Daphnia pulex: one gene and its partners. The protein of the gene in region 4 purifies or fractionates together with the protein of the main gene of each other region. This does not show direct contact. Links are inferred from orthologs where the notes say so. Each region holds a gene or a part of one and is shown on either strand. Other genes may lie near its edges. The genes, in order: phospholipase A-2-activating protein-like; lipoamide acyltransferase component of branched-chain alpha-keto acid dehydrogenase complex, mitochondrial-like; mitochondrial import inner membrane translocase subunit TIM50-C-like; histone deacetylase 6-like.

Evidence for each region.
Region 1: the proteins of histone deacetylase 6-like (region 4) and phospholipase A-2-activating protein-like purify together in Homo sapiens (affinity purification with mass spectrometry; 4 studies listed by BioGRID and IntAct, with this or other methods). This does not show direct contact. The link is inferred for Daphnia pulex from reciprocal best matches to the Homo sapiens genes HDAC6 and PLAA.
Region 2: the proteins of histone deacetylase 6-like (region 4) and lipoamide acyltransferase component of branched-chain alpha-keto acid dehydrogenase complex, mitochondrial-like purify together in Homo sapiens (affinity purification with mass spectrometry; 3 studies listed by BioGRID and IntAct, with this or other methods). This does not show direct contact. The link is inferred for Daphnia pulex from reciprocal best matches to the Homo sapiens genes HDAC6 and DBT.
Region 3: the proteins of histone deacetylase 6-like (region 4) and mitochondrial import inner membrane translocase subunit TIM50-C-like purify together in Homo sapiens (affinity purification with mass spectrometry; 3 studies listed by BioGRID and IntAct, counting the BioPlex papers as one, with this or other methods). This does not show direct contact. The link is inferred for Daphnia pulex from reciprocal best matches to the Homo sapiens genes HDAC6 and TIMM50.

The regions. Positions count from the first base shown.
Region 1 is NC_060021.1:10,307,636-10,315,828, forward strand, and holds phospholipase A-2-activating protein-like, read right to left. Parts: upstream 4,838-8,193; 5' UTR 4,729-4,837; coding exon 4,586-4,728; intron 4,516-4,585; coding exon 4,328-4,515; intron 4,243-4,327; coding exon 3,864-4,242; intron 3,801-3,863; coding exon 3,630-3,800; intron 3,572-3,629; coding exon 3,437-3,571; intron 3,357-3,436; coding exon 3,267-3,356; intron 3,202-3,266; coding exon 2,690-3,201; intron 2,620-2,689; coding exon 2,476-2,619; intron 2,419-2,475; coding exon 1,835-2,418; 3' UTR 1,760-1,834; downstream 1-1,759. Other genes in the region: U1 small nuclear ribonucleoprotein A-like, read right to left, coding at 7-293, 511-683, 837-900; transcription elongation factor 1 homolog, read left to right, coding at 1,360-1,475, 1,558-1,690; uncharacterized protein LOC124194545, read left to right, coding at 5,406-6,068, 6,129-6,404; CTTNBP2 N-terminal-like protein, read right to left, coding at 7,261-7,343. UniProt on the Homo sapiens protein: Plays a role in protein ubiquitination, sorting and degradation through its association with VCP. Involved in ubiquitin-mediated membrane proteins trafficking to late endosomes in an ESCRT-dependent manner, and hence plays a role in synaptic vesicle recycling.
Region 2 is NC_060026.1:4,118,451-4,126,326, forward strand, and holds lipoamide acyltransferase component of branched-chain alpha-keto acid dehydrogenase complex, mitochondrial-like, read right to left. Parts: upstream 4,239-7,876; 5' UTR 4,159-4,238; coding exon 4,099-4,158; intron 4,023-4,098; coding exon 3,835-4,022; intron 3,770-3,834; coding exon 3,585-3,769; intron 3,523-3,584; coding exon 3,383-3,522; intron 3,319-3,382; coding exon 3,037-3,318; intron 2,971-3,036; coding exon 2,762-2,970; intron 2,693-2,761; coding exon 2,500-2,692; intron 2,418-2,499; coding exon 2,346-2,417; intron 2,283-2,345; coding exon 2,115-2,282; 3' UTR 1,871-2,114; downstream 1-1,870. Other genes in the region: pumilio homolog 3-like, read right to left, coding at 4,396-5,220, 5,292-5,473, 5,540-5,750, 5,820-6,050, 6,116-6,763. UniProt on the Homo sapiens protein: The branched-chain alpha-keto dehydrogenase complex catalyzes the overall conversion of alpha-keto acids to acyl-CoA and CO(2).
Region 3 is NC_060024.1:13,317,918-13,325,479, reverse strand, and holds mitochondrial import inner membrane translocase subunit TIM50-C-like, read left to right. Parts: upstream 1-2,958; 5' UTR 2,959-3,002; coding exon 3,003-3,596; intron 3,597-3,669; coding exon 3,670-3,789; intron 3,790-3,861; coding exon 3,862-3,969; intron 3,970-4,033; coding exon 4,034-4,289; intron 4,290-4,357; coding exon 4,358-4,461; intron 4,462-4,523; coding exon 4,524-4,616; 3' UTR 4,617-4,671; downstream 4,672-7,562. Other genes in the region: transient receptor potential cation channel trpm-like, read right to left, coding at 1-69, 145-1,075, 1,133-1,396, 1,454-1,933, 2,053-2,059; serine/threonine/tyrosine-interacting protein B-like, read right to left, coding at 5,260-5,402, 5,478-5,530, 5,618-5,806, 5,874-5,971, 6,059-6,217. UniProt on the Homo sapiens protein: Essential component of the TIM23 complex, a complex that mediates the translocation of transit peptide-containing proteins across the mitochondrial inner membrane. Has some phosphatase activity in vitro; however such activity may not be relevant in vivo.
Region 4 is NC_060025.1:1,307,730-1,315,855, reverse strand, and holds the start of histone deacetylase 6-like, read right to left. Parts: upstream 3,488-8,126; 5' UTR 3,405-3,487; coding exon 3,306-3,404; intron 3,219-3,305; coding exon 3,088-3,218; intron 3,014-3,087; coding exon 2,732-3,013; intron 2,667-2,731; coding exon 2,493-2,666; intron 2,421-2,492; coding exon 2,228-2,420; intron 2,115-2,227; coding exon of another isoform or gene 2,055-2,114; intron 1,987-2,054; coding exon 1,927-1,986; intron 1,825-1,926; coding exon 1,735-1,824; intron 1,662-1,734; coding exon 1,555-1,661; intron 1,498-1,554; coding exon 1,253-1,497; intron 1,189-1,252; coding exon 1,107-1,188; intron 1,036-1,106; coding exon 607-1,035; intron 552-606; coding exon 362-551; intron 291-361; coding exon 1-290. Other genes in the region: speckle-type POZ protein-like, read left to right, coding at 4,448-5,500; F-box only protein 9-like, read left to right, coding at 6,087-6,089, 6,177-6,258, 6,328-6,410, 6,492-6,627, 6,694-6,866, 6,927-6,980, 7,048-7,095, 7,155-7,216 and 3 more.

The DNA of each region.
Region 1 (8,193 bases), on a different chromosome or scaffold from region 4:
TCTTACTGAGTGAACAGCATTGACAGCATCATTTCATTGGTTTCTTCTGGTAAATTGGTTAAGAACAAGATTTGATTAGGGGGTTGCTCAGGAACTCCAGCTCCTCCAATTGCTGGATATCCATAAGTAGCTGGGCCACCAAAGCTTCCAGGAGTGACAACTTGTTGTTGTTTACTTTCCTTCTTCTTCTTCTTCTTGGGTTCTCCTTCAGGCTTTGGTTTGGCAGGACGCTCTTGAAATGTTCCTTTCATCTTGGCAATAACATCAGAATCTGTTTTGGCATATTGGATGCGCTGCAAAAAAAATTTAAAAAATTTAAGAGACAAGTATATTCTCTTGGAACCCTAGTGAATCTACTAGTAAAACCCTCAGCCCACTAAAGGGCAAAACAAGCACCTAAAGAGGGGGCCAGATTTTTCGACACACGTAATTAAACATGAGAGAGCAAGGATAAGAATCATCACAGGGCATAGTTTTTTTAACTAAAAAAGAAAGAATGAAATGTATTACCATAGGTTTATCATAAAATGGAAAGCCTTGCATTCCTCTGAGGGCATTTGTTGCTGAAGTTACTTCCTTGAAAATGACAAAGGCTTGTCCTCTCATCTTTAAAGTTTTTAAAGCCACAATGTCAAGAATTTGTCCAAATTGGGAAAAAATCGCATACAATGATTTCTTCAGTTCTAAAAATGTAATAAGATATTATTTAGAAAAGTGTGAAGAACTCGTGTCTACACACACAAAGGTTTTCACGTGGTTAACGTTCAAAAACACATTAGTGATTTTATCTTCACGAGTCTCCTTCATATTTTCCCAATACTATATCAAGTTCGTACCTTCTTTCTTGACTTTCTCGTTGAGATTATTAATGTAAATCGTACTGTTGGGTCTGACGTCCATTCTTGATAGATTGAGGTACTTCTTTAAAAAAAAATTGCAACAGAATAGAGAATGAAAATGTTTTCGCTCGAACTCTCTGACAAGAAATGAGAGATTGAGAGCCGGCTGGCGGCGTGGGTCTTTAACAGAGTTGTCAATTTATTTTTTTATCATTAATTTTTCAAATTCTTATTGCTTAAGAAGATTAATTAATATAAGAACCTGTGCTAATAATTTTTAAACAAGTTTTTATTTCAAATGGGATTTTAAAACAAAACACAGTAAATAAAATTCGTTTCGCCAAGTAGCTACAAAACATATTGGCAACATCGGGATTGTTTACTAGAGAACGACGCTCAACGGTCGAGGTGTTTTTGCTTGTTCTTGAATATTGTTTCTTCTTATTTATTGAATTCACAATTTACTTTACAGTATAAAACAAATTAACTGATATCGCTTATCTGATTGATTGAACGAACAATGGGAAAGAGAAAGAGTAAGAGGAAGCCTCCCACCAAGCGCAAAGCCATCGAGCCCTTGGACACGCAATTCAATTGCCCATTTTGCAACCACGAAAAGTCCTGTGAAGTAAAAATGTAAGTTTAAACCTTGATCATGTGCTGTTGAAATCTAGATATTTTTACAACAGATGATATGAATACTTTTTTTTATTTTCAGGGATAAAACACGCAACACTGGTCGAATCACATGCAGAGTTTGCCTTGAAGATTTCCAGACTACTATCAATTTCCTATCAGAAGCTGTGGATGTTTATAATGACTGGATTGATGCCTGTGAGACAGCAAACTGAAAATTTCTAACAACATTTGAACAGTTCTGCTAATACTGAACTCAATATCAGTTTAAATTGAAGAATTAATTCAGGAAAAATTTCCAACTGTATTCATTTTCATGTTTTCACTTTGTTAATACAGGATACATATGCATTACAATATTATTTCAAAAGGATTAAAACTTGTTTAGAACATTCACCCACTTTACCAGAAATATTCTGGAAGTAGTCAATTTTAGATTTAAGTTCTAAAGAATGTGCAATGGCAACTGAGTCATCAGCATTTGACAAAAGAGTTCCAACTGCTACTAAAGTCCTAAACAAAGCCTCTTCCTCCTGTAGTTTGGATAGAATTTCGCCAATTGCGCTCATCAGACTTGCTTTAGCCTCTACTGTAGCGAATGAAGGTTTTAGATGAATAAGGACGGCATAGTTAAGAATAACGGTCGAAACAGATATTTCAACGTGTTTCCATTGGGAGTGTTTTAAAAATGAGGGGTCACTTTCCGTTACTACCGCTAAGATTGCTGCAAATATCGTTTCGCGATAATCCATTAGTATTTGCTGTGAAGAATTATGGATGAGTAAATGAGCAATTGTCCTTAAAATCATCATGCAGTTCGGGACGGTCGAGCGAGAAATAGCCAGCATGACATCAAGCAATCCTTCCTTTTCACTTAACATTCGATCTACCCGAGAATGGCGGGATGCTAGTCGTAAAATGTCCAAAGCAGGAAACATCTTATCTGTAAAATAAGATTATTTAGTAAGTTTCTTTCCAAAACATGATGGCAAAATATTACCAGATGGCCAACGAAGAAATGTTTCTAAATGAGGAATTCCTTCAACAGTAGAACTGGGATCAGCGGATCGTATAAATGCCAATAAATCGGAATCAGCCAGCTGCAGTTTCGGATCGACTTTGCCATTAAACTCTTTTAGTTTGGCTATTTAATTAAAACCATAAAACAATATAGATGTTGTTGATCTACAATAATATGTTTAACCAATGTATACTTGAAATAGCTTCAATATTCGCTTGATCGAAGCGCAGGAATTCTTTGACTGGGAACAAAGCAGGTTCCGGTTTCTTTGGTTGGCCGGGTGGAATATACCGACCAGAACCAGTAAATGGATCTTCTCCCTGAGACATTGCTGAATTCGACGGAGCATTCCCAGAAGATGGAACATATCGCGAACCACCAGTAAAGGGGTCCACATATGTTTCGCTTGATTTCTGTGATGCACCACTGCCAGTTCCGCTCTTACTATTGGTAATGATGAAGTTTGCCACTGTATCCAGATAATACTGGCTGAGATCATTCTTGTGTATGAACTTTTGAGCGGCTAACCAAGGATCTTCGGAGGTGTTATAAGGAAGCTTCAATGGTGGTTTGCCTTCATCAATATCGACACTAAAAACATAATCGTATTCTTTCCCTTCATAGAGATTCTTGGTTGAATCTGATTGACCAGCAGCACCGACTACGTCACCCACTTTTGTCCATTGACCATCACTTGATGACCAGCTAATGTAAAAGCAGAAATTGAATGACGAAAAGAGTAAATCCTTTGTGACTAAAATGAAATGTACCTATAACAGGAAACAGTTTCTCCGTGACGAACCATTTTTGTTTGACCTTCTCTAGTACCAGGTTCAAAAAGGCTCTCTGGACCAGGCAAGCTATGGGAGAAAGGTATAAATTTAGTAAATTATTCCTTCCAAATGAAGTGGGTTTTAGATAAAAATGATGATAAACTCACTCTGAAGCTTTGATACCCCCCAGTTCCAACTGTGCATTTAAAGACGTGGCGGCCAGTTCTTCCTCAAAAGCTTGTAACACTTCTGGGTTAGCTGTTCGTTCTGGGCTCTGTGTGAATACTCGAACTAATCCATCACTAAGAAAAACGTGCAGTCATTTCAATTTGAAATCACTTTCTTGATTTTAACTGATACCTGCTCCCTGTGACAATATCGCCGTTTTTCATAACGCTGACTGACCAAATACTCTGCGCAGGAAGGAAGACTGTTTGTTGACACTCATCACTCACATCTAATTTCCATATGCGCAGAGAACGATCTTCACCACAGCTGACGAAAGTATTGCGATCAGCCATCATCGACAATCTAATTAAAAGAAGAAGTCCAACAGTTAATGGAAGTTCAGATTGTAAAAAGCAAAAAGATTACCCATAAATGTAATTTGTGTGTCCATAGAAAGTAGAAATACAATCTCCACTTGTGACCCACAATCTGACAGTTGCATCATTTGCAGCAGACAAGAACCGAGTGGAATCACAGACAGCAAGTGCTCTGACACAGTCAGTGTGCCCCTTAAAACTCTGAAATGGTGAATCACCTTTCCACATTTTAATGGTTTTATCTGCAGATGCTGTCAATAGTATAGATTCAGATGCAGAACTACTGCACTGCAAAAATTCTACAGCCCAGACAGCTGCAGAATGTCCAGAAAGAGTTACAACTGGAGAACCATCTGATTGCCAAAGCCTTGCAGTTTTATCCCATGAACCACTTAATAAGAATCCAGGGCGAGTAACCAGAGCACAAACTAAAAAAAAATAACCAAACTTTGCTATCATTTTATGAAAACTTATTATGAAAAATATTATGAAATTTTAAGAATAATAACCAACCAGTGTCTGTATGCCCTGTCAAGGTGGATGTTGGATTGACTGCACCTGGATTATAAACTCTAATTTTCCCATCTTGACATCCAGTTATGACAGATCCACTAGGGAAATTATCTGAGCATCCACCAACAGCAACAGCAGAGACATAACCTTCACTTCCAATGTATGTTTGATCACAGACAAATCCCAAACTGAAAAATGATTTTAGATGTAATCAAGCTACTTTAAATAATGACAATGTATTTAAATCAAATTGAATACCCTTCCGGCAACCATAATTTTGCAGTCTTGTCCCTGGAACCAGATACGATGCATTCTTCCATTAAGTCTCCAACAGTGACACTCCGAACGTCCTTCGAATGTCCTGGCATGGAACATCGCAATTTATAAGGCATTTTATTCATGATGAAAATACGTTCTGGTAGTAATAGGAATCCCACAAAATAAATTCACTATTGCTAGGTCAGTCGAAAAAAAAACAAATCAAGAATCATGCGCTATTGCCGTTCGTTCGAAACAAGAATCGATGACGGATGTTTACTTTGTAATATTTCCCCCTATAAATATTTTCATAAACGGAGGTTGTGAATAACATTATATAAAAAATATATTTTTCTTAAACCATATCTGTTCGTAATTAATTATTTTTTAAATTGATCTATAGGCTCAAACAATGCTTTCTCTGCCGAAGAACACGTTCAAGTAGCGCCTCTTGTGTGAAGAAGAAGTATTTTTTTGACGAACAAATACGAACAAGCAAGTAGAGAAGAAATTCGATAAAAATTCAGTTGGGTTGCAAACTTGCTAGAGACTCATAGTCTGCTGTTCTGTTCCATCCATTGCCCGACACCCATACGAAAGCAAATGGGCCTTCGGAAACTATACTTATGTAGTAATAGAATATGGACGTTTGGTAGGCCTTGAACTAAAACTGCACACACAATTTCATTCGACATTCGCTTCTGCGAAGTTCGACATTTGGTGAAAGAATTTGTTTGTACTTTTATAACATTTGAATATCTACTGTTTAGCCTACACACTCAGTGTTAATGATTTTGCAAGAAAAAAAATTTAAACATTGATGTCAAAAATGGAGAATGCTGAAGTTTTAACGAAGAAGAAAACTCATCGACGTAAAGCGGGTGGTAAAAGACGAAAAGACAAAAACGATCGTTCGCTGGAGACAACAAGTGATCAAGACCCAATCACCCCCGAAGTGGTCGCCCCACAGACGGAAAGACAGTTACTCGAAGATGGTGAACCACTAAGAAAACATTTCAAAATGCTACACAAAGAAACCCATCCTCTGTTACATCCTCACAAATTGGCAACTCGTGGAGGTAGAAGGTTGCTGAGACCTGCCAAAGTCCCAAAAGCACCCCAGAACTCAACACAGTTCATCATAGATGATCATGAGAACTCTGCATTTTTTATTGACTTTGATAAAGGCTTTACCCCACCTGGTGCCAGAGATGATGTTGGTTGGTCTCCTTATTTCCAGCAAGATTTTGAAAATGTGTACAGGACCACGAGAGAAGCTGAAACAACAATTGACTGGACCCAAGAAGATCTTGTTGAGAAAATATCAAGTCTAGAGGAGCGTGTGAAAAACCTTGAACAGCAACTGTCAATGTGTGACTCCAATGTCTACATGAATCAGATGCATCATCGGATAGTGTGCATGCAGGACAAGAATAGAAGAATCAAAGAGTTCAGAGTCTGGTGTCCAATGCATGGGAAAAAGGTACAAGATTCAAATTAATTCATTTAAGAAACATCCAAGTAAAACATTTTGATTTCACAGGTTAGACTGAGAAATCCCTCTACTGATACTTCCAGTGAAGATTGTTCTAGTTCATCCAGCGAATCACCAGACGATGAAGATGAAGTCGTTCAAAACGGGGACGAATCCGACTCCAGTGATGAAGATATGACGGAAGAGGATTCCGAGGAAAATGTGAACGAGAGAATTAATCCAGTATCATTAAGCAAACCCGAAGATGTAGAAGAAGTCGAAAAAATCGGAGAGCGAACAGGAAGCGTACAGTCGAATGAAGAAATCGTCACCGAAGAGCCCTGAATTTCGTCAATGCTGTTTTTTTTTTTTGTTTTTTTTACTTGTGAAATCCTCTTTTCCCCCGTGTATGCGTGTGTTTGATGCCTGTGAGAAAATTTCGGCTGTTGCAGGTTAATAAAATTGAAATGTTGAACGTCGTCAAATTCCATGTTTACTTGTCATTTACGTTCCTAGCTCTTTTTATTTATACAGTAAATACAGTAACAACAAGAATTATGACTCAGTTTAGGGGAGGTCTGTCGTCTTTTCACGTCAAGTCACAAAATGGGTGTGCTGAAACATTGGAATTCACTTCGCCTGATGGCCCAAGCTCGTGAAGCTGCCGCTTTCCCGCTTATCGTGTCTATGTATAGATAATATTATGTATAAATATTTACAAGGATATGGGGCTCCGAGTATAAATGTAGAAAGGGAAGGACCGATCCGGGGGAGGTAATTATATATAGTACGTCAGTTTCGAATTACATGATATGCCTATAACACGCATACACACAAACATTTTGCTCTTTTTTTTTTGTAAAGTCGCCAGGTTAGGAAGTACTCATTTAAAATAACAATTGAAATCGTGCACATGAGAAGTGATGGTCGTCAGGTAATCATTCACGCCCAATTTACTTAAAACAGATGGGGGTAGAGAGATAAGAGAGACAGAGGAGAGTGAGTAATTTTGCAGAGGATGGAAATGAAAAACGACTAGACACGACGAATAAAACCGACGCGTTTTCTTCTTCATTAACTTATCCTCAATCATTGAATCTTTCACGATTGAATTTTTAAAAACAATGCAATTTTGCTTAAGATGCAACTGTCGTGTAAAATATTTTAAGTGGCTTTCTTGGTCCTTTATATGTGGGCCATCTCAAACACCCATATGCAGCATAACGCCGCTGCTCTCTTCCGCAGGAGTGCTGGAAGATGCGGACGATGTCAAACCAGCGGGACCTGATCAAGTGAAATAAAAATGAGGTTAGATGTGCAAATTCGTACAATAATTGATAATAATTAAAAACAGTAGCTGTTCACTGTAAACATTCAAATCAGCACAGCATCAGACTTGGGTTCAAATGCATTTTGTCAATCATTGCTAGAAATATTAATTTACAGCACCTTTTGTCTACTGTGGAATTTTTCACATAAAAGGGCTTGTGGATTATAACCCATTCAACTCTTGCAGCAATAAGTTAAGTGCGGAAAATTATGGAAAAGCAGTGTTTAAGATTATTTCAATGGATTAATTTTCTTTAAAACACAAGAATCCAAGTCTGTTTGTTTCAAAAGCATTCGCAACCTCTTGGACACGATGTTAAGACACTCCACACAAAGCATACGTTAAACGAAAACATCACGTCCGTTCACGTAATCAATAGGCAAAAAACTGACAAAACGCGTCAAATTCCCGTACAAAATAGAAGTTACACGTTCCGAAGATAGAGCGAAAATCAGATGAAGACCCGTTCACTTAAAATGGTATCAGAAACGATTGTAACCCGTTTTTAACTTGATTCTCTGTTCGTCAGAACGAGTTTGAATGAGGAAAGACTATACTAGTATACCTGGAATGCACCAAGGACAGGAAATAAAGATAGTTCATTATAGCAAACAACCGACACGAATGTGACATTCTCCATCAAGGAGTGGCTGCCCAAAACCAATCACGATGTACTTCCACACGGATGTGGCAGTTTTGACGACACCTACATTGTAAAAAGGTCCCCTGCTAACATGGAGCCACCTCCTTTAAAACCGGAACGAAGCAGACGTACAAAGTGAAAGCGCGGATCGTTTGGAAGCA
Region 2 (7,876 bases), on a different chromosome or scaffold from region 4:
CTCACAACAGCGAGCACAACAGGCCTGCATTAGGTCATTCAGGGTTTATTTCGAAGGTTATAGGTGCCCTGCAGATCCCAAAATCAAAGGATAATGTAGATGATGACGCAGGCTGTTTAATAAGGCGAGCTGAACATAATATACTTCAAGAAACCGGAAACTCGATTAGTTATCTTAAATATTTACTTTCTTTTTTGTTTTTCAATGTAGATTTATTTTCACGCCTGACGTCCTCAATATTTTCAAGATTATCCCAAGCCTCGTTTCCTTTCAGGCATCGTAACAGCCAGGTCAGTGTCGTCCGACCGGCACAATTTTCTCCGGGCTGTTTCAAGCGACGCCAGAACCAGTCCCGCACTCCCGCTCGTCCAAAGTTATGTAACAATAACAAATAAACATATCGGTTGATTGTGGCTCGCAATCACACGGCTGTTGAGGCAACCGAAAAGGATATAAAGCAGTTAAAAGGCAGCACCATATCTCCGCGCCAGCACGAAATCATATACTGTAAACAAGCCGCAGCTTTCTTGTCACGGTCGGTTTAAGCAAGTGGAATTAATGGTCTGCGCCCGTTTCGACATGTAATACGCAAACCAAAACAACCAGCACGTCTGGATGAAACCAGAAAAAAAAAAACGAAATTCCAGCAGCCGGGAGTAAACGGATCCTTAAACTAAATATGTGTCTACACACACACACACACACACACAGCACACACACAAATAGAATTATTTTTGTTATCGACACGTATTATTTTTTTTCAGTAGCTACTTTATTTGGATAAGACATGCTTAGCTGTCGTGAGAAAAATTTTGGTATAGTATAAAAAGTAGTCTGTGATGTTGTGAACTCGATTAACGGAGAGCGGTATCATTTCAGATGATTTGATTTCCCCTGTCTCGACTATAGACACCCAACACAGGCAGCACGGGGTGTGGGTCAGTGCGGTCAGGCGGTATACTTTACACGCAACAGAATGAACTATTCAAGGAGATCTACATTTCAACCTACATAGGTTGGGTTGTTGTCACAGTTGGAAAATATTACATTTCATCTTTCCTTTCCAGTGTAAATTTAAATTTCACAATTTTGGGTTTTTGTAAGGCCCTCAACGGTCCGGTGCAACCGTTCGGTTGCCGGGACCGGTCACCCCCTGAAAAAATCCTAAAAATTTCGGACCGGGCCACAGCAACGCTATTTGACATCAGATCTTCTAAAAAAGATGAAAACATGTTTAGAGAAAAGGCTAAAAAACATTTCCCAGCCCGCCTAGACCTGATTTCGTTTATTTGGCGGGGTTGTGGCTTCATTCGATGTAATCCATTATCCCGCTAGGGGGCTCGTTGGCTTAGACGGTTATTGTGTAGTTACTGTTTTTTGTGTTTGGTTAGGTTATTTAACGATTTTAGGGAGTATTTGAATATTTCATTCGGATTGAGAAAGTCATTACAAATGTTTCTGTTTTGCGCACAACAAGCTTCTCTATTTGCTCAATTTTAAACCGACGCAACCGCGCACACCGAACCGAATCGTAAGTAATTGGGTGATTTACTATTTCTGAGGGAAATTCCCAAAACATTACGAAAACTTACGAACAGGTAATTCATGACAGATGACAGATACGTTGGTTTTCTTAACCTAGCGGGCAGACAAGTGGGCCACTGACCAAGTCCGTCTCCACTATCTCCTGTTAAAGTTGCATCACATAAAGTAAATAATATTAAAAATTAAACATGGCATTACTAGTACAAGAAAATGTTGTTCACACTGGATAAATAGTACATAAAACTACAAATTCACAAACACAGTCATATTGTTTGTTTAATTTAAAATATTAAACTTAAGTAAAAGAAAAACATTTAAAAGAAAATTTCACGTGTAGGACTAATCTGTTATCTTAGTGAAATAACAGATAGGCAGTATATTATATCAAGTTTCTTTTTTTTTCATACACTGATGATCATACTGACCATATGACTGAGTCCCATGCTGTTGAGATTTCACTTCGCGACCATTATACACTAATATAGATCCTCTTTTATTAAATTTAGAAACGTACCCTTCCGCCAGGAGGACACGGATTGTAGAGTACTTCATTATTAGTATTTGAATATTCATTTCAAGTCTAAGATCATAATGCTGGGATTTTCTAGATAAGCCTTCCACAAATTGGAAAATCGCGCCATTGAGGCGCCATCAATCACTCGATGGTCAGCAGACCAACTAACTTGCATGATGGATGCTCTCACCACCTCACCTTTGTTGTTGAAACGAGGAAGTACCTAAACAATTCAATACTACTGAATCATCTGAATAATTAAAGGTTGCCGAAATTTAAAAACTACCTGGACACGTCCTATTGCTCCAATAGCAACCTCCGGCGGCATAATGACGGGTTTGGCATAAGTTCCTCCTATCTGAAATTAAAAGGGAAAACGTTTTAAACGAGGAATTTATAAAAAGTAATCAATAAAATATATTAAGAGATTTATATCCAACCGATCCAATGTTGGATAAGGTGAAAGTTCCACCGGTTAAATCTGCAGTGCCCAAAACTCCTTTATTGCCTAGCTCCTGCAGCCTGGCTAGTTCGATAGCAACATCCATCACAGACAATGATTGGACATTTTTTACATTCGGCACAATTAAACCGAGACTCGTATCCATGGCAAATCCAATATTATGAGAGGCTCTAAATAAAAGAAGTTCAATAATTATTTACGTGAGAAAGAAACTTTTTTTTTTTTTTTTGGTTACATACTTGTAAGTAATATTTTCGCAAGCTTCGTCAACCGAAGCATTAAGAACTGGGAACTGTTGCAGAGCCATGGATGCAGCTTTAATGAAGAATGGCATGAAAGACAACTTAATGCCTCGCTCTTTAACCATTGGATTCTCTTTCAGAGAATGTCTCAGCGTAGCCATTGATGTCATGTCAATTTCATCACAATAACCAAAATGAGGAATTCGCTTTAAAAAATAAATATCTTGAAAATTATGAACCGAAAATATGAACGTGAAATCTCTTGATCATACCAGTGCATTAGTCATGGACTTTGCCATAGCCTTCTTAAATCCTTTAATCGACTCAGTGCGGTCCACTCCAACCGGACAGGCTGGTCTCACTTGCTGTGGGCTTTTTGTTGAAGGCGACGGCTGTTGGGAGGTAGCTGCAACAGGTTTAGGTTGTTCCTGGGGCGCCTGTTGTTTAGCTTTCGGGGCGCTCTTAGAGCTACGAAGAGTTTCAATGTGCCGAAGCATATCTTCCTTCAAGATACGTCCGTCTCTCCCACTTCCTTGTACATCTCGTAGATTTATCTATAATATTAAAACCAAGTTTTACTGACAGAATTTCTATTAAAGTTCAGTCGCTAAAACATACCTTATGATCACTGGCCATTTTTCTAACAGATGGTGTTGTCAATACCTTTTCTGCTGGAAGTTCTAGAGTATCCAAACTCTCGTCTTCTCTTTCACCGAGGGGTATGGCATCTTTTTCTTGCAACTCTTCAACAGGCTCTTCTAAAAAAAAAAACTATAAGCAACACAAAATCAAGTGAAACAAGAATCACTGTTTTTTGTACCTGTGACTGAACCACTGACTTCTATATCTACCAATGGTGTACCCACTTTGGCCATATCGTCTGTAGCATAATGCAACTTGCTAATGATTCCATCATAGCGACTGGTAATGGTAACTGATGCTTTGTCACTCTGAACTTCACAGATGGGGTCAAACTGAGCCACTTTATCACCTTCCTTGACATACCTTTAGAATTGATTTCAATCTCATATAAATACAGTGAACAATAAATGTTAAACAAAGACTATTACCATTCTTTAACCGTAACTTCCGTGATTCCCTCTCCAATATCTGAAAGTTTGAAGGGTACTTTCTCTCCATAAAAAGGTTTCGAAGAATGAAAAAATCTAGTAGTTATTGGATGAAATTGTTCGACGTGACCGCAGGGTCCGAAACGAGAAATAAGCAATGGAACGGCATTGTATTGCAATCGTGATTTCTAGGTGTTATTTAAAACGGGATAAATTTTTAAATTATTCTATCGAATCTAGTTGACAAATTAAAAATCTAATTACCAGGTAGAACAACTTATGTTGTCGAAAACTACAAACAATTCGTCGTGAAGCAGAAGCCATGTTTACTCGCAGAGGAAAAATTCTACACTTATCACGTCCGACGGAGAGAAGATGGCGCTGAGCACACACTTATATTTATTGAAATTATTTATAAAATAATAATTTAAAATAAATAAATTTGCAAATATGGCAACACAAAATTCTTATTTGTTTTAAATTAAAAAAAAAATACAAAATGTTCCAGAAATTATTTTTTATTCCAATGATTTTTTTTCGATTACAGTTCAACAGTGAAGTCTAGATTGGTTCCAACTTCGCCAATTTGGAATCAAGGATGTCAGAGCCTTTGTTGGTTTGTTTTTGTAGAAATTTCCTCAAATTTTTAAGTTTTTCTAAAACTGCTTGTATGACACTGTCAATTTCGGTTTCAACCATTCCAACGAGCAAGAAAGAACCGCGATTGCAGCTTAGCCAACCTTTAATCTCATCAGAGTCTACTTCATCGATGATTGCCTGGCTAAAATAGGGAGGTTGCGTTCGTAGCTTGTCAAACTGAATTAGCTTTTTAACCGTCATATGAACAGCCGACTGTTCAACCCAATATTGAACTTTTTCGCCACTAGAGCTAAACGCGTTTCTCAGATCTTGGTCGAGTGGGTTACCAATAACTGAAGCCACTGCTTTAAAAGCAGCTTGCAATTCTTCCCCGACGCAAAATTTGAGAATGGAGCCAAGAACAAGACAGTTTTTGCTATCTTTCAACCACATTTCAGGTTCGTGTGAGACAGCTTCCAACCAGGAAGGGGAGGCATACTGGAGAAGTTCCTTGTGACGAGTTTCCATATCTTTCTTGCTGTTGGGATTACCGTCTCCTTGCTTCAATATGTCAATAATCTGTGGATGGGTGAACTTGGGATCGCGGCCAGCAAGCAAGTACATGACAACCTTTCGGCCGTGCTCGTGAACAGCAATCTCTCTCCAGTTGGTAGCAATTTCTGTGACAATAGCTTTGGCAACGAGTTTGGTGTCATCCACGGAATCGAAAAGCGCCATCAGCACCATGTGGCCGTGCTCCTCTAAGCAGATCTTGGTTACGTGACCTTTGAAACTTTTGATGATATCCTATATAATTTTCAATAGACAGGCGGGTGAGATATAATTTCGAACACAAAATAAATAAAATTTAAATTTACCTTTCGATCTTTTTGGGTACCATACCAGAGGCACGTCATTCCAACTCGAGCTCCATCGCGAGTGTGCAAAACTTGAACGACTGCCTGACGAAGACTTTGGATCATTTCAGAGCGTTCATTCTCTTTGCAGTGAGTAAGGTACTCATTAGTCAAACGATGCAATAAACTGTGATTGAAGACACCTTTTCCAATTAAAAAATCGATTAGACGGTTGAATACAATCGAATATTGGTATCAAATCAACAAACCTTTGGCAATGATTGGTTCGATGGCCTGGTTCATATGCTTTAGGAATACTTCTCTCTTCTCGGGATGTTTAGCCAGAGCGGCACTCAACGTAGTAATGGACTCATCTTTAAAAAGTTTAAATTCAGGTCCATAAAATTCCTGGCTCAGCAGAGCGCGTTGACTTGCGTTAGCCCAATCGTTGTATGCCGTTTCAACCACTTTGGAGGCGAACTGATAAATAATAAAGAATTAATTAGCCAAATATTGAAATAAAGAAGATGGTGTTAAATAGATGCATACCTTGTGTTTCATAAGAAAAACAACTTTTCCGCTTAACGCAGTGATGACATAATTTCGCTGTTCCTTGTTACCATGGCGGAGAACTTTCATCAAGTAGAAATGTGCGTACTGTGATTTAGCCAAATTAACAGTATGGCTTTTAAGTTCATTGAATAAGGCATCTCTGATATCCTGAGATGATTTCTCAAACAAGCATTCAATAACTCTGGCTGTATCATGGGCAAAGACCAACTAAAAGGAAAATTTAATTATACAATTTGTAATGAATTACAGCTTTTCATCAACTTTTCACTTACCTCTGCTGCATGAGTTTTGATCAATCCATAGAGATCAGCACTAATGGAAAGTTGACGTTCTTTGGTAGTGTCTTCCCTTCTGAGTTCCTCCCAGAGCTTTTTGGCTTTAACAGACAGCAGATAGCGATTTTCATTCTCCTTGGTCTTTCGTTCAACTTTGAGTGCTTCTTTTTCCTTCTTCTTGAATACACTTGTCTGTTCTCCAACAGTCTTTTTGGCTTTCTTACCATTGACTTCTTCTCCTTCATGTTTTCTTTTAGGTGCTACCTTTGGTGCTGAGAAGCCAGGGATGACTACATCACTTGAAGACTCTGTTTCTTCAGTTTTCTTTGATTTCTTTGAGGGCTTGATAACTTCGAAATCTTCATTATCCACTTCCATTTTCTTGGACTTTTTCTCCTTTTTAACAACGACTTTCTCTTCTTCTTCTTCAATGTTTTCTTCAGCATCAGCAGTTTTCTTTTTCTTTTTGAACATGTTTCCAACTTTACCGTAATCTTCTTCGACTACTTTATCATGTTTGACTTTTTTCTTGGCTTCTAACTGGTCGATGAGTTTGCTTTCTGAATGAGTGAAACCTGGGGCATCTGCTACGACAACTTGCTTCTTGGTTTTCTTGACAGCCGCTTTGTTAATTTTGAGCGTCATTCTTGTACTTAAAAGTTCACAACTGTTTTAAACTTGATTAAATAACCTACGGTCAATCTCGAGAAAGAAAACAACGCGTTCGTACAGAAAACTATGGTAAACTTTAAGCAAAAAGTCAGCACGGCGCACGCAATATATTCCTGTCAAACACGTGGTTTGAGAATGCTTTCTGCTAAATTGTTGCCAGATTGCTCTGCAGCTGAGCAAGTTTACGAAGGAAAATTTAAAAAATTTCTATTCAAAACAAACTTAACCATAAATACTTTTGTAATTAATTTTTAAAATTTAAATGACATTAATTTTGATTAATCAAAGGAGTCATAAAAACAGAGCTCTGATGCACCATATGACATTTGCGGGAAATTCAAAATCTATCATAATCAAAAGCTTATTTCCCACTTTCACATCATGAATGCACCACTACCGTGCCAAAGAAAATCGATTTGAATACATTTAAGATTTTGATCGAAAAATTTGCTAATAAACAAGCTTTCATTCCCCTTGTATCGACAGTGAACGTGCGACAGAGGGCAGTATGGCAGTATCATTCGCAGATTTGCCACTAGTGCCACTGCTACGTTAATCATTTTTTAAATAATAAAAAAAAATGTATTAGTTAAGAGTTGTTTTTCTACGATTATCAGAATTTGTTCTATTTAAAAAGTAAACATACTAAATTTTATTATTTTCCATGATGGATGGGCAAGAACAGATTTAGATTTTCCGAGGCATTACGAAATACGTATCATATTGACTTGATTTTCGCTTAAGAATAGGCGAGCATTGTTCAACGCTGTCTTTATGAATTGAAAAAGAACTGGAGCCAAATGTGTCTATGTCTTATCAGAATACTTCATCTCACGCCGACTTCTCAATCGTTGCAAAGGCCATCAGTTATCAAGCCTTTTGCTTGTTATTTGGATCTTGCCCTTTGCTTCCAGAATTCTTATCATACCAGCAGTTCATAAGTTCATAGTAGTAGTAATTTGAAATAACGACACTTGAAAAAGATCGTAAGCAATTGAAATTTACGGGTTGAATATGTATTGTTTATTCGCATTCCTCAAGTTTTCACAGCTACATCACCAAATATAAAGTAGGCCACAAGTCAGA
Region 3 (7,562 bases), on a different chromosome or scaffold from region 4:
TTGTGTGATGGCTCAACATGATATTGAAGGTCTTCAATGAGGCTCAGGTGGCCGGATTCAATATACTGACTGGATAACAAAGAACAGCGTTTTATGATTAGTGAAGATATCGATAATCATAGACTTGACATTATCAATCCTTACCTTAATCCATGGTTTAGAACATTGCGACTCGGAGTTTCTTTAGTGAAATTTTTCATCATGTCGGTGTAGCTGTGACGGAATTTCCGTCGGGTGTAGGAGCAACGATAAGCACCGCCCATCAGCTTGTTGACGACCAAGCCGATATCGATAAGACTGTAAGAATAGTTGCGAGGCAAATGTGGACGGACGTCACGAACGATGTACCTCAGCGTATTGGCTGGACCTTGTTTGGAATTATAAAGTTCTTCCAATCGATGGATGGTTAAGAATTTGGCCATTTGCACACCCATTTCCAGCAGCAACTTTACAAAGTCCACGCGATTTCTCGCCAAGGCTTCCATCATGGCTTCTTCCAGGGCTCCATCGGCCCACTCTTGGCCGTAAATGAAGATCTCGGAACGGGCAATGTCGACTCGATTCCAAGCCAAAGCCAAACTAAGTTGTTCGGCAGCTGTCAAGTAACGGGCACGGAAAAGTGCACAAAGAATGGCACGATCCAGCTGATTCAGTGACTTTGATTCCGAGGTCTCTGACGGTTTGAAAATGGTGATGAGATCCACATTTTCGACGCACTGTAGAAGTTCGGCAAGCAATTTATTCGTCTGAGACTGACTGATATTGAATGTTTTCTGGATTTCAGCCAGCAGTTGTTCTCGTATTCCGTCCAAAGCAGTCGATGATTCCTCCATCTCTTTGGCGTATTTGTGCGCAAAGGAAATCAGATTAGCTGCCCGGCCTGAGCCTTCCACCACAACTACTGGAACAGGTGGCGAATCCGTTACGTATTCCAGCACGGTCCTGATAGTGTCCATTCCGCCCTCAACGACCAAACAGACAACAGGAATAGAACAATTAGTTCGAGCCGGAAGCCGTTGGCTGGATATGTATTTCTCCAGTTTCCTCCGCAGGGCGATCTCCGCTCCATAACGACCTGGAGAAAACAGTTGAATATGACCAATCCACGGATAAATGAACAATTAAAACTGACCCACAGTTCCGTTGTCAGCCAGTAGAAAATACGAGTGTCGATTGTTGAGAGCAGCGAATTTGGAACGCGGATGATCGATCGATTGATAGGCGACATCCTTCTTCCGGCCGATCAGTGAAGCTCGATTTTCCACCACACCCCAGGGAGCGACGCCGATACTGACGACACGGCCACTTCGTAATCGAGGAGAACGTTCTGATATCAAAGCATCGCCGACATGATGAGTCACTCCCGTACTGGTCCCACCCGTCAAGATCCATGCACCTGTCGGAAGTGGAAATGAGGTGAAAGCTTCGTTAGTCATCTAATGTTAATTAGTACCCGTAGTTTTAGCTGCTCGAAGGAGTCCCTCTTTGAAGACGAGCTTGAGTCGTGGATTAAGTTTAAAATTAACTTTGCCACCGTGTACGGAGATGACAAGTTTAGGTAATTCAAGTCCCCATTCACGGGTCAGCAGTTGAAAAATATGGTCGGTGCCTGAATCAAAGCCCAGCCGGATGAATTGAGCTTTATTGGGATGTGGGCCGCCCAAGAAATCGATGGTGCCATAAGAGTCGGTTGGGCTGCTGACAGTATGATGGGCAGGGGACCAAACTTCTTCCGACACGCCAACATTTTTGATTCCGTGAGTCTTGTGATACGTCCACGTTCGGCCGCAAGTACACAGTGGGCCTTTGTCGGAGCTGCAAACGTATCTGGAGCATTCTCGCTTGCAAAATGTTGATTCTATCCAGCCTGGATGACCCGGAGGAATCGCAAAAACGACGCCACTTGCAGACGTTACAGCCAGTTGATTTTCCTCTATATGGGTAAAAGAAATAAAAATGGTTTACTTATTTAACAAAGTTTTAGCATTAAATTAGAGAATTTCATGTGTAAAAATTAAATACAAAAAAAGCGGCATTTTGAAAACAACTTACCAATCATGGCCGAACGTGTTTGGACTCAGTCATGAGAAACTATAGACTACCTTAGAATCTTAAATTCAAGTGCACCCGTTTCACCAGCATTGAACTAGTTTTAAGGTACGTACACAACAAACTGACATGCAGTGATAAGTAGTTTTGACGAAGGTCGAACCTTAAAAACAATCACACAAGATGAAGCAATAACATCGTATGTAGCAATATTTGGACTTCAGATTAGAAGTCTTGGATTAACTCATACTTGGCTTTTCACAAAAGGATCGGTCGACGTTACCGTCTGGGAAAAGTCAAGGAACGGTATGAAATTTCACTACAAGTCTGGAAAGAATGAGCTTCACTGAGATGAGAGAGCAATTATTAAAGAGGACTTTACACGATAGCGGCAATAAAGAGGTTGTTGATCCTCGATAAGTTGTATGTTATCAACAAATTAATCCTGCATTTGCGCATTCTTTGCATTCATATCACATGTAACCGATTGCATCGCGGTGATATCAAGTAGCATTAGAGACCCCGACACACTCACTAATAAAACGTTATTGAAAATGTCGAAAACGAAACTACAAGGTTAACTTTAACTATACCAAGATAATTCAGTCAAGTATGAAATCCGAATGTAAATAAAACCGATAAAATGTTACCTTCTACAGCTGAACACTTTTAACATTTTCCATTTGAGACGAAGAAGTATCGCGGCGGCAATAATGCAAGGCCATTCAAAAATAAGGCATGAAAATATGAATGCAAAATCTCTTGTTCTCAGCATCCTGCACTCACAATCGTAATCGCAATATACCGCGTTTAGATTTTACAGACCCATAGGAATTAGGAAATAGATTTTGGATTTTTGAATTTTTTTACCCGACGGTTGGAATAAAGAAGCAATCTGACAACTACACAAATGTTGCAGAAGATTCTTGAGAAAATTAAAAATATCAAGAAAAATGGCTGCCTCCAGATATGTCACGAGTTTCGTAAAGTTATCTCAAATAAGTGGTACAAAATTGACTTGTGGAAATTTTCACAGACTAGTGACAATTCCCCAAAATGTGCTGTGTCAACCAAAGCAAATAAGTAACATTCTCTTAGCTACCAGGCACTTACAGTTTAGGTGTTACAGCCAAAAGTCCGACAGCAGCAACGAGACACAGACGACGACGGCGAACAAACCGGCTGCAGCTAGTCCAATATTAGGTTCATTTCAAGGTATGGGAATTGCAGGAGAGGTTTTAAAGTCCCAAAATGAAACCGAAGGAAAGCTGAAGTCTTCTCCACCTGGCCAACAACAACAAAACAACAGTGAAGAAGATGAAGAAGCCAAAAAGAAAAAGGAAGCAGAGGCTAGTTGGAGAACTATGAAATACACACTTATTTTCTTTGGAGTAACACTAAGCGGCCTAAGTGGTTACATTGTTGGCACATGGGGAGCACCAGAGAGAGATGAAGAGGGCAATGTGATAGAAGACCAATTCAGCTCAAAACCTCTGGCACTACAATATATCCTTAGGTCATGGAATGCCATAATGAACTATAGTCAAGTAAGCATCTCTGACTGTCAGATTTTTAAAACATTTCAATTAATTTTAATATTGTTTTTGGCTTTCTTTTCAGATGATTAGAGACCCTTCAAGAGATAAACTTTTACCTGATCCTCTGAAAGAGCCATATTATCAGCCTCCTTACACATTAATCTTGGAAATGACTGGTGTTCTAGTCCACCCAGATTGGACAGTAATTAATCAGTTGAACTGTATGCATTTCAAATGAAACATCATAATCATTTGCTCTCTCTCTTAATTTCAGTATCAAACTGGTTGGAGGTTTAAGAAGAGGCCAGGAATAGATTTTTTTTTGGCACAAGTGGGTCCACCCGCATTTGAAGTGGTTGTCTACACGGCTGAACAAGCCTTTGTAAGTACCATTTTTAAATTTCACGTTCTCGGTACAAAATAATTAAATTTCTTTACCTCTTTAGACGGCCTTTCCCATATTAGACGCCTTGGATCCCAACGGTTACATCATGTACCGACTCTTCCGCGACGCTACTCGGTATGTTGATGGTCATCACGTGAAAGATCTTGACTGCATCAATCGCGATCCATCAAAAGTGATTGTCCTCGATTGGAACACCCAGTCAGTCAAATCGCATCCTCGTAATGCACTTAGAATTAAAGAATGGAAGGGTAACGATGATGACAGGACCCTTGTCGACTTGGCTCTACTATTGAAAAGTAAATGTCCTTCTAAGAAATAGTATGAAAAAAATACTAATGAAGTAACGCATTTTACTGGTGAATAGCAATTGCTACGTCAGAAGTCCAAGATGTGCGAGAAGTGCTGGATTTCTACAACCAATTCGACGATCCTATCGAAGCATTTCGGGAAAATCAACGGAAACTTCAAGTAAGTGTAAATCCATCATCCAATTCTTAAATTTGTTTTTACCCAATTTTGTTGCTGTGCAGGAACAACAGGAACTGATGGAACGAATGAATCAAGAGAAACAAATTCTACCAGCTACATCTGTTGCCCGTGGTCTATTTGGTCGGCGATTTTGATTCAGCAAGTCTCGTTTCTAGTATATTAATTCGAATAAATCACCGATCGAAAGTTTCTGAAAGAAAAAAAAATACTCTTATCATTGGGTCGAGGCACAGCCAAGAACGGGAAAACATTTTGTCCCATATTTTATACAGGATGTCAACCGTCCATATAAAGCGTCGTCGATACCTACTGTCTCGGTCGTTTTCAAGTTCTTTACTCTTTTGAGCAATTGTTACACTTCAGTTTGCGCGGTAGATGGGTTCACATTCCTTCAAGTGTTGAATAGAATCTGTAAATATTCCAGTGAACTCAATCGCAATAGTTTAAACAAATACTTTACCTTCGTTGGACTAAATAAAATGCTTCGACGGTAATTTACACTTAGATTAGTTGTTGCAATACAATTGAAGATAGAAACTTAAATACCGTATCGTATGGGAGTATTTAGGTAAAATATTAGGTGCTGGATTGATATTCCTAGACTGCATTGAATTATTAGTCGTCAAATAAATGGATTAAAGCTTTGGACCGGTAATCGACTTAAAAAGATTGCAAACCATTTGAAAATCACTTGTTTTATTCCTTCAAGGAACAGTCAAGAAAAAATTGTGCAGCATACGCAAAACGTTTTTATTGATTCTCATGTCGGATAACGCGTCACTCGTCCATAGCATCGTCATTTTCGATACTGTCTCGCTTCCGTTTCCAAGTGCTTTGCTCCCTTGAGCACTGACCATTGTTTGTTACACTCCAGTTTGCTTTGTAGATAGGTTCATATTCCTTTAACTGTTGAACAAATCCTATTAAGAGAGTTTGAGCTATGTGAGACTATTATTCTAATGAACTGAGATGCAACAATTTAAAAAAATACCTACCTTCATTGGGATTAATGCAAAACCTTCTCTGTTGCACTAAACTGAAAGCCTCTCTGTAAATAAATAAAAAAATTAGATCAGAGCTTGAAAAGAATGTCATGCTTTACTGCTTATATATGAATGAATGTTGAGAAATATACCTGTAGTCAAGGCAGTATTTTTGCATAAGAAAGCCCAGAACAATGGCAGCACTTCGAGATATGCCAGCATTACCGTGAATAAGAGCTTTGCCTCCTGCAGAAAAACAGCTATCCAAGAAAGTTTTAACTTTTTGGAAGTGCTGAATGATATTTTCTGTGACTGAATCTTTCACGTTGACAACCAGGTATCTGAGGAAAAAGTGCAATACAAATAAGTCCATACAATTTGTTCCTTGTTTGGAATAATTTAATTTACTGGAATTTATCAACAAAATGTGTTTTGATCATGTGAGATTCAATGTCTTGTCTAACACAAACGATATGAGTGATTCCGTGAGTCTCAAGATAGTTCTCCTGGGGTTTAAAAAAATAAGAAGGTAATGTTGTTATACTTATTACATTGGCTAATGCAAGAATAAAAGATCTATGCAAACCATATACTTTGGATCGAACTGCAACCGAGTAGGGCCCAAGGAACAATCCTTTGACAATTTCTTGCATTTCCCTTCTCATCGAATATGTCCAATCGTTAGGTTCTTGGAAATCAGCCGTTATCGACGAGGCCGAAAGTATGTCGTGACTATTTGTCTGAACTTCCATTGAGGCGACTATTAAGACTATTAAGAATAAAAAGAAAAACTGTAAACACTAAGCCTGCGTTTTGAAACGAAAACTTTTTGTTTTTTTTTCACTCTGCTGTCTGATAATCGATGTTTAAGAGAATCGATTTTTCCAAGCAGACTAGAAATTTTCTTTTTGGCGGTTCGAGAGTCGAGTTCAACCTTTTATTGGCGGTTCAAGTTCAATACGTTGTTTCTTGTTTATAAATAGACGTCTGGCATGTGTCAGACAGCTTCCCTTTAAAGACGGGAAGATTTTGTCACTCGTCTCAGACCCGTTTCTTTGCTTGAGCCGTTTCGACACGATTACTCAGTTCTCTAAATTGTAAGTATTTTTTTCGATTGTTCCGAGGCAAACCAATTTCTTTATAACGAAAAAGTAAAGTTATTTTGCTTGTTAGATTGCCAGTTGCCCAGTTCGTAACAATAACAAGAATGTCGAATGGAAAGTCTTTAAAAATTACGGCTGAGGACAAAGACGGAGTTCGCACAAGATCTACTGTTATTCGATCGGAAAATTTCGGTCACGGATCAAAAGTTTCCATATCCAGTGAAGAGAAAAGACAGATGGGAGCAGGCAGAGGCAGTGATGTTAGTCATGTCTTTGCTAACATGCTTGGAGGATCGGGAAAAGACAAAGATAATCTTTTCCTATCATCCCCAAATTTCAACAGAGGTGCTTACAAAGAAAATGAATTTGAAACCAGGAAATTCATTAGAACTACCGAAAAGTATCACCCAGGAAAACAAGTAGAAGCTCACACAAAGGTCACCATACACCCCAGCAGCAATTCGGGAGCCGATCCTCGCATGAAGTATGATGTCACCTCGCACATTGACGGCAAAGAAGGGCCAAGTTACACTACGTTTTTTAATTTTTTTGGCAAGAAATGAGGTCAACTGCGATGGGGATTTTCAATCGAAGATCATATATATTCAATTATTCAAATAAAAAGTTCGCTACTTTAAATTTTTTAAAGTTATCTTACACCGCTTTTTGATCAAAATTTTTTCTAATACAATTCTTTTCACTGCTTTAGTCATTTGTTTTGTATTTTCTTATTCTACAATTTTTTACTTTTTGCGTCAAATAAAAGAGTAAAAATTACAGAGAGAAAGGCAGAAAGGGCGTTTTTCAGTTAATCGATATTTAAGAAATGAATCGATTTGCCCAAGCAGACTACGTAAAAACTTTTTGTTTTTCTTTTGTGAGTTGGTGACCCTCTCTCCTAGGTTCCACATCCACACCCTTTTTCTTATTTGTCTAGGCTGTTCTACAGCATTTTATGTAAATTTCAAGGCCACTTTTAATTTTACTTACCACT
Region 4 (8,126 bases):
CCGCCTTCGAGTAGGATAGCAACACGTCCTTGAGCAAGTGAACTAAGCATGTTCGTCATTTGTCCGTACCCTTCCGGAGTAATCTTGCAGCCTATGAACGTCGTATAATTAAAAGAAATCCAACGGTAAATGAAAAGGACTTTTTTAAAATTTATTTTACCTCCCAACGGATCCCCCTGGGCCGCATCGAATCCAGCTGCAACAAGAACTAACTGCGGATTGTATTGATAAGCGATAGGCATAATAATCTGCTGGAACGCAGCAAGGTATTCCGTGTCGCCCATCCCTCTCTATAAGAATGAAACAAGTTGGTACAAGTTAAGAAAACAGATGACAATAATTCAGTTTGAATAATAAATACTTTGGGCCAAGCGATGTTGACTGTGTATCCAGCTCCGGATCCGCTTCCTACTACGTTGCAATCAGATTCTTCCGGTTTGAAAGGGAAGATGTCGAAGCGATGCAAGGAAATGTACAATACGCGCGGATCCTCTTCAAACATCCGCTGGATTCCGTTGCCGTGGTGTACATCCCAATCGACGATAAGGATTCTAGATAAAATAAATCGTATTTAATCTAATAAACGAGTTTGAATTGCATCATTACCTTTCTAAATGATGAATCTCGATGGCATATTTGGCTGCCAGCGCCGTGTTGTTGAAGAAACAAAAGCCGTACGCTTCGTCGCATTCCGCGTGGTGCCCCGGTGGCCGGACGACTCCTATTCCACTACGACTCTCACCGCTCAAAATACTTTCAACAATTTGGAGAGACGAGCCGGCTGAGAGCAACGCAGCCTGATAGGTTTCCGGACAGATGAAGATGGATCCGTACTGCCGTTCCAATTGGTTGAGAGTCGATTGCTTTTTACCAGCGGTCGCCGCAATCTCATCGATGTAGTCGGCCTGATGCAACCACAGCAATTCTTCGCGATCGGCATCTCGAGCATCCAGCCGGTGGCAGCGCTCCAACACTCCGAATTCCATCAATTTCTGGTAGATTGAAGTGATTCTAGCAGGTCGCTCCGGATGTCCACTGCAAAAGATATCGTCAAACAATTCCATAAAAATAACAAAGAACTCGAAACAATTTAAAATTCAACTTACGGTTCGTTGATATTACGATGCAAAGCCATTCTTTCATCGTAGATGAAACAAACGCGATGCTTAGGCACTGCCAAGCTCGTTTCTAAAATAATAAACAATTACAGTTAATTAAATTGTTATTTAAAATTTGTAATCATTCATGTCACCTTTAATGAGCTTATCAAGGCGCTGATCCAAGAGGTCAATCGTCTCATTGCTCTGCACTGGGTAGCAGTTTCGAGTGGCAAACAATGTTTGTTTGACGTCAGATCCTTCAAAAGTGACACTGGGTACAAAGTGCTTTCCTTCCTTTTGACTACCCACTTTTGAAGCATCAAAACGGCCCTGGAACTGTAGACATTTCCACATAGGGCGAAGCACATAAATAGCGCTCAAAATACTTTCCTGAATACTACAATAAGAGAAATGATGCAGCCCGCATTATATTCGTCAAAAGAAATCGTTTTACCTTTGACAAGGCTCTTCGACTTTTGCAATGACTGGGCAAGGATCACCAAGCAATGTTCGCAAGGTCAGAGCAGCTCCTTCGGCTAAGGATTTCAAGCAGTACCCTCCCTAAAAATAAACACATAATTAATGACCAGCACTAGGGTTTGGTCAGAGTAATAGATGAGTCAGCGGATTATACTTCGAGAACGACAGCCAGTTTGCCTTGGGCCAGCCCCATGAGTGATGACGTCAAGTGGGAGTAGCACGCGGGAGTGATTTCCATTTCGCCCTAAATTTGACAAAAGGCGTTGACAATATTAGTCACCGCATATCTTCACAATTCCTTCAGAAAAAGGTAGAATATAAAATAAGAAGAGAACAAATGTTGGACCTTCTCGTCGCCTAGTGCCGAATCGAAACCAGAGGAGACGAGAACAAGATCAGGGCGGAACTATTGCCATGCAAATCACAAGAAAAGAAGAAAAACAAAAAGAATAAGTAGGAAGTCTTGTACACTACCTCGAAACAACCCAAGGCAGCGTCATAGCCGGCTGATACAATAATCAACTCTGGTTGAAACTGAACAAGATGAAGCGCGTTTTTAAATTACAAGCGTATTTAACCATAGTATTAATATGCATTGAACGATTTGAATAGATGAAATGAAACATGGTATCAAGATGAGTTATTACTTCATAAGCCAGAGGCAATAGCAGCTGGTGCCAAATGGCCAGATAGTCGGCGTTACCCATTTTCGTTTTATTCAGTGGCACGTTCACGTTAAAGCCTTTGCCAACTCCACTTCCAATGTAGTGAAAATCGCTTTCACGAAGATTGGGCCAAAAAGCTCCGTGCTCATAACGATGAACCGAGAAATATAAGACTCTGAATATTCAATAAAGGTAACCCTCACATAGAATTGATTCAGTGCATGTGATAAACTAGATGCCTTTTTACCTGGGGTCTTCGTAGAACATTTGTTGAGTTGCCTGGCCATGGTGAACATCCCAATCAACAATCAGAATTCTTTCAACACCCTTGTTATCTAATGCATGCTGGGCTGCAACTGCTACATTGTTGAAGAAACAATAGCCACAATATTCACTTTTCATTGCATGGTGCCCTGGCGGTCTAAATAAATCAGTTTTGAATTGAAACAAAAGAGAGGAGTAAAATTTGCAAAGTATGTATATTACCTGATTACAGCCATTCCATTTTGTATCTTTCCATCCAGTATGGCATCAACCATCTCAACTGTTGATCCAGCTGCCAACAATGCTAGCTCATTTGTTGATGGATGAATGTAAATGGCATCATAACCTGAGCTGATAGCTTCTAATGCTTCAGCATCTGGACTGCCATCTGTTCCTTTGAGCAATTCAATTCTGTCTGGTGTGTGAAGTTTCAACAGCTCATCTTGAGTTGCCTTTCTAGGTTGAATTTCTACACAGCGTTGAGCCAACCCATATTCACGGCATCTGCAAGATTTTTTAACCATTATTTCACCATAAGCAGTTTAAATTTCAGACTAGGTATATAACTGATAACTGACCTTTCCAAAACCCGAGTGAATCTCTCTGGACATTCAGGGTAATTGGGATCCCAAAGACACTGGTGTTCAACCATCCGTTCATCATAAACAATTCCTGTTTGGCCACGTATCTTATCTTTAGAATCCCGAGTCTACAAGAACAGAGTGATACATTCATCAACATCTAGCTTCAACATTATCCAAATTAAACAACGTTTAACAGTCTTAACCGTCCTTACATTTTGCAAGTGATCCACAAACACATTTAATTTTTCATTTTTTTTATTCGATGGTGAGCGACCTTTCACGAAATTCGAAAACTTTGTTTGTTTACTCATTTCGACTTGTCTTGTGGGACTGCTAAATTCTTGACTGCAGCCGCTGACAGAACTCAAGTGCAAGTCAACAAACAAGCTCTTGAGTGAGACATCTGGTGAGCGTCGGTTAAAACAAGCTCACACTTATTATACCGATGCACGAACGAAGTTTGAATTGCCTATCGAAATATGAATATACGAGGTAATTCTAAACTACTGCGTTATTTATTTATAACGGTTTCTTATTAAATCAAATTATTAAATTCCAATTTCCAAAGAAACGGGGTTTACCGTTGAAATGTGATTTATGCTATTAAAATTGATTACAACCCCTTTAAGTAAGACTGTGTCAAGTTACACTCATTCACGACCGATATAAAGCTTAATTTTTAATCAGTTCAGATGATTAAATAATTAAGTCAAATCAAACAACATACCGAGTACTCTCCTAGCAGACGAACGGCATGCGTTTGTGGAACGACATCTGAACGACATCCATTTTCGAAGACGAAACAGAACAAACTGAACAAATCATCGCACAATTTCTTCTCTAGAGTTCGTCAAATTAAATAAACGAGACCAAACATAATAGAGAGGAGGACGTTTTTATTTGTCAAGAAAACTTAAGTTATATGTGTGTGGTTAGTCACAGCTTTCTCAGTTTTCAGGCTTTTTTACGGGTTTATGAAAGATGACGCCATATTCAATGATTAACAACATAATCTTTATGGTTGAAAAGTTAATCCCTTTCGTCGGTGGTATTTAGTTGCAATCAATTGGTCAAATTACAATTTCTCTTAGCAACATAAAGTTTTATTCCCTCGGGTTCTCTTCGGCTCTATGAAATTCTATCCCCTCCCACTCTTTCTCACACCCTTTCAAGTTTCGTTTTCTATTCGTTTTCAGCCCCTTACCCTTCACCCTTCAGTCTGCAATTTTGCTGATGCTGGGGTCTGGGAAGTGGGAAGTGACTCAACACTCAAGTGAGAGCTGGCATTCGCATTTCATCTTTGTTGAGAATAACACGTGTTTGTAACAGTCGCCATTTTTCTACGTACTGAGCCATGCAGTCGTCAGCGGACAATGTCTGTCTCTCTGAATTACAAATTTCAAAACTTGATTTAGAATGGAATGTTCAAGTGCCATGTCTAGAAACTGTTGCGGCGTGGATGGAACCTCTGGAATCAACGTTATTTTCAGCTAGAGAAACTCCTGATCGTCTGTGGAAGCTAGTACTGTCTGATGCGGGTACAACATTAACTGTACAACTATTTCTTACAACTCCCGGATTCGCTAACTTCAAGAGCGTCACGGCTGTCGACCCTTTTCGCATGAAATTATCAATCCTAAACGGGAAACGACAGAAAGTTCTCCAGCAAGTATACGGTGTTCAAAAGAATGGCTATTGTAGCATCCATCTGAATTTTCTCAAAGATGCAATCCTAAAATCTGAGTGTCAGCAATTGAACGGAAGTCTCGTCTTCCACTGCGAGATTGAATCGTACGCGAAAAAAGAACCTGTCGCAGGTAAAGCTAATCTAATCCAAGACCAGTCAATTAGTTGCAGTGATCAGCTGATTGACCACTTTGAATATTTGTTCGAAAACATCAAGTACGCTGACGTCACTCTAAACGTCGGTGCTCAAAAATTTCAAGCACACAAAAGTATTTTGGCGTCAAGAAGCAAAGTCTTTGCTGCCATGTTCGAACATCCGACCAAGGAGAAACTGTCCAATCAAGTGGAAATTGAAGACATCAATCCGGATGTATTTCACGAGTTGCTTCGTTTCGTGTACACTGCCCGTTTATCTTCAAAGACCATGGAGAAAATGGCAACTCAACTTTACTTTGCCGCAGACAAATACTTCTTGGACCAGCTGAAGACCGAGTGTGAAGTCCATTTGCTCCATCATATGACTCCCGACAATTGCATGGATTTGCTGCTTCTACTCGGCAATGAACACCAACTGGTGGATGATTTGAAGAATGAAGCCGTCGATTTCTTTCGTATTAATCCAGTTGACGTTATGGCGACTGATGGATGGAAAAAGGCGAAAAAAGATCACCCGAAGTTGTTGTGCGACATTCAAGAAATGGCCCTCCGCCCTGCTGTTTAATGAGCATCTAGCTCATCTGTTTCTCTCAAAGAAGTTGAATCAAAATCAAGTTGAATGAAGAATTTAATTTTTTGTACCAAGAATTTTTTTTTTATCTGTTCAAGTCCTTATTCAAACATTTGTTTATTCAATAACGTGAAAAGGAACATTCAAAATACAACACAGTTGATTGCAAATTGTCTTAACAATTTCATGTTCGCTAGTTACTTTCCTAGAGTCAGTTTTACCGAAGGAAAACCAAGTATAATAGTGATTCCACATACAGCATTCATGAGTAAGTTTATGGATTTATTTTATATTAGAACCATTCGGTTTGTCTGCAAAGCAATCTTTAATTTGCCATAATTTGAATAGGCCGCGTGTTCCATCACCGCTTCTGCTACTAGCAGACGAAATTTTTATTTTTGTCGCGCAGCCACTGACGTATTAACTTGGTCAACATCAATTCGATTGTTTCCATTTTCTTTTACACCAATATTTCGTATATTTGTGCATATGTGGACTTACTGTTCAGTTAAAAAAGTATCGTCCGAAAGTAGGACTGACCATATATCCAGCCGAGAGAGTTTATTATTTTTCATTCCCAATGGTAGGGTTGCTACAGCTTGATTGGATAAGAAACATTTACAATTATATAATCAAAATATTTTTGATTTCATTTTGTCATGCCAAACAGGAGTCCGAGAAAGATCCAGCAACCGAGGAACTACTAGAATCGTTTCGGCGACAATGGGAGACTGAAATTTCTGCTGCCAGATGTATAAATTTATCACTTTGCTCTATCATTGTTAGTGAATGTTGACCAAACTTTAAACATAACATTGCAGTGCAGCAATCTCTGACAAGCAGCAGTAAACCCAAAAATGAGGATCACGAGTCTGGGAGTAAAGAAACTGTTGATGAAGAAGAGGTTTGTATAGCTATGTACCATTCTAAACATATCCACAATCTAGCTTATTTATGTTACTAAACAATTACCCAAATTCTCTAGGCAAAAAGTTTATATCTACGTGGAGTAAAACATGAAAAGTCTGGAGAAGTTGTGGAAGCTATAAAATTTTACAAACGAGCAATGCAGTTGGTCCCTGATATTGAAGAAAGAATATACACATATCCCAAGAACAAAGGTTAGAAAATCAAATTTTATATTTGAAAATTTCTTGTCACTGTTTAAATTTTCTTGGGTGCGACAGAAGGCAGCGAGACTACTTCGGAACCAAAAAGTCACAAAGACTTGAAGGAAGAAGTTCATAACAACAATTCTGATGATGAAGACGATGATGAACTTCCGGTTGATTTGCTAGTTAAGCTTGAACGGCTATTACTACAGGATGGTCTAGTTTGTACCCCACACGATGAACCAAAGGTTTGAAACCATTTTTAATGACTTGTGCGTATCAAACATTCACAGAAAAAATTGTTTTAGGGTACTCATATATCGGATTTACCGCGTGAAATTATTATTTACCTTCTCAAATGGGTATTTTTTAAATGAATGGTCATTACATAAATGTGCAGCGCTAAAATTAACATTTCAATTTCTTCAGGTGGTATCTTCTGACTTGGATCTTCGGTCATTAGAACAAGTTTCATTGGTAAGTAGTATTGTTTTGCTATAATTTCAGGAGCGTCACTTATTTGATCATGTTTCCAGGTTAGCCGTGGTCTCTACGTCTGTTCCCGAGACACCGAAATTTGGAAACTCGCGTGCCTTAGGTATACTTTTATTCCGTATAGATAGTTTTGCTTGTTGGAAATGACGAAAATGTTTGTTTGTGTCTCCAGTGTCTGGAACAGCCCAGCCAGTCCTACAACTCTTGGTTTTACCAACTATAGAGACATGTTCATTTATCGTCCTCGTCTTCATTTTCATGGCTGTTACATAAGTAAAACATCATATGTGCGGCAAGGAGAGAACAGTTTTCAAGATACCAATTATCAGGTAAAATATTGCCGAAAGAAAATGTCTTACCGTGATTTTTCTTCATTCTTTTTTTATTTAGCCGTGGCATTTGGTAAACTACTTTCGATATTTGCGCTTCTATCCTGACCGAACCGCTATAATGTCCACCACTGCGGATATTCCTAGCTTGGTAGTCAGTAAACGTCTAAAAAGAAAAGATCCTTCTTGTTTCCGCGGTTTCTACACGCTCCATGGAAACGTTGTTACGTGTATCTTCAAACGAAAACGGATTCCAGAACGAACTGAACGAATCGATAACAGAAACCGAAGAAGGAATGACGAAGCAAATAATAACGGCAGCACAATGATTGAGCAGATTTTCGAACTGGTAAGTTAACTGACACCTTATAATTGAGCGGTGCAATTAAATCGTTATTTCTCTACTGTCGTCTTTGATGAATGTAGGAATTGGAAATCAAGACTATCAATAAGAAGAAACTTCATTGCGCACTTCATTGGAATCGTTACAGTATTCAGACTGTTTACCAAAATAAGGAATCCACGACTGCCAATTTTGATATAACCGCTACCCGTTTTCCGCCCTTGATCTTCAGCCGTGTGAGGTCCTATAATGCCCAAAGTGAGAAACCACTTTAAAAATCCTGTAAGGAAGTTCGCTTCAATCAGATGCAAACAATTTTAACAATTAATTGTGCCTGTTTA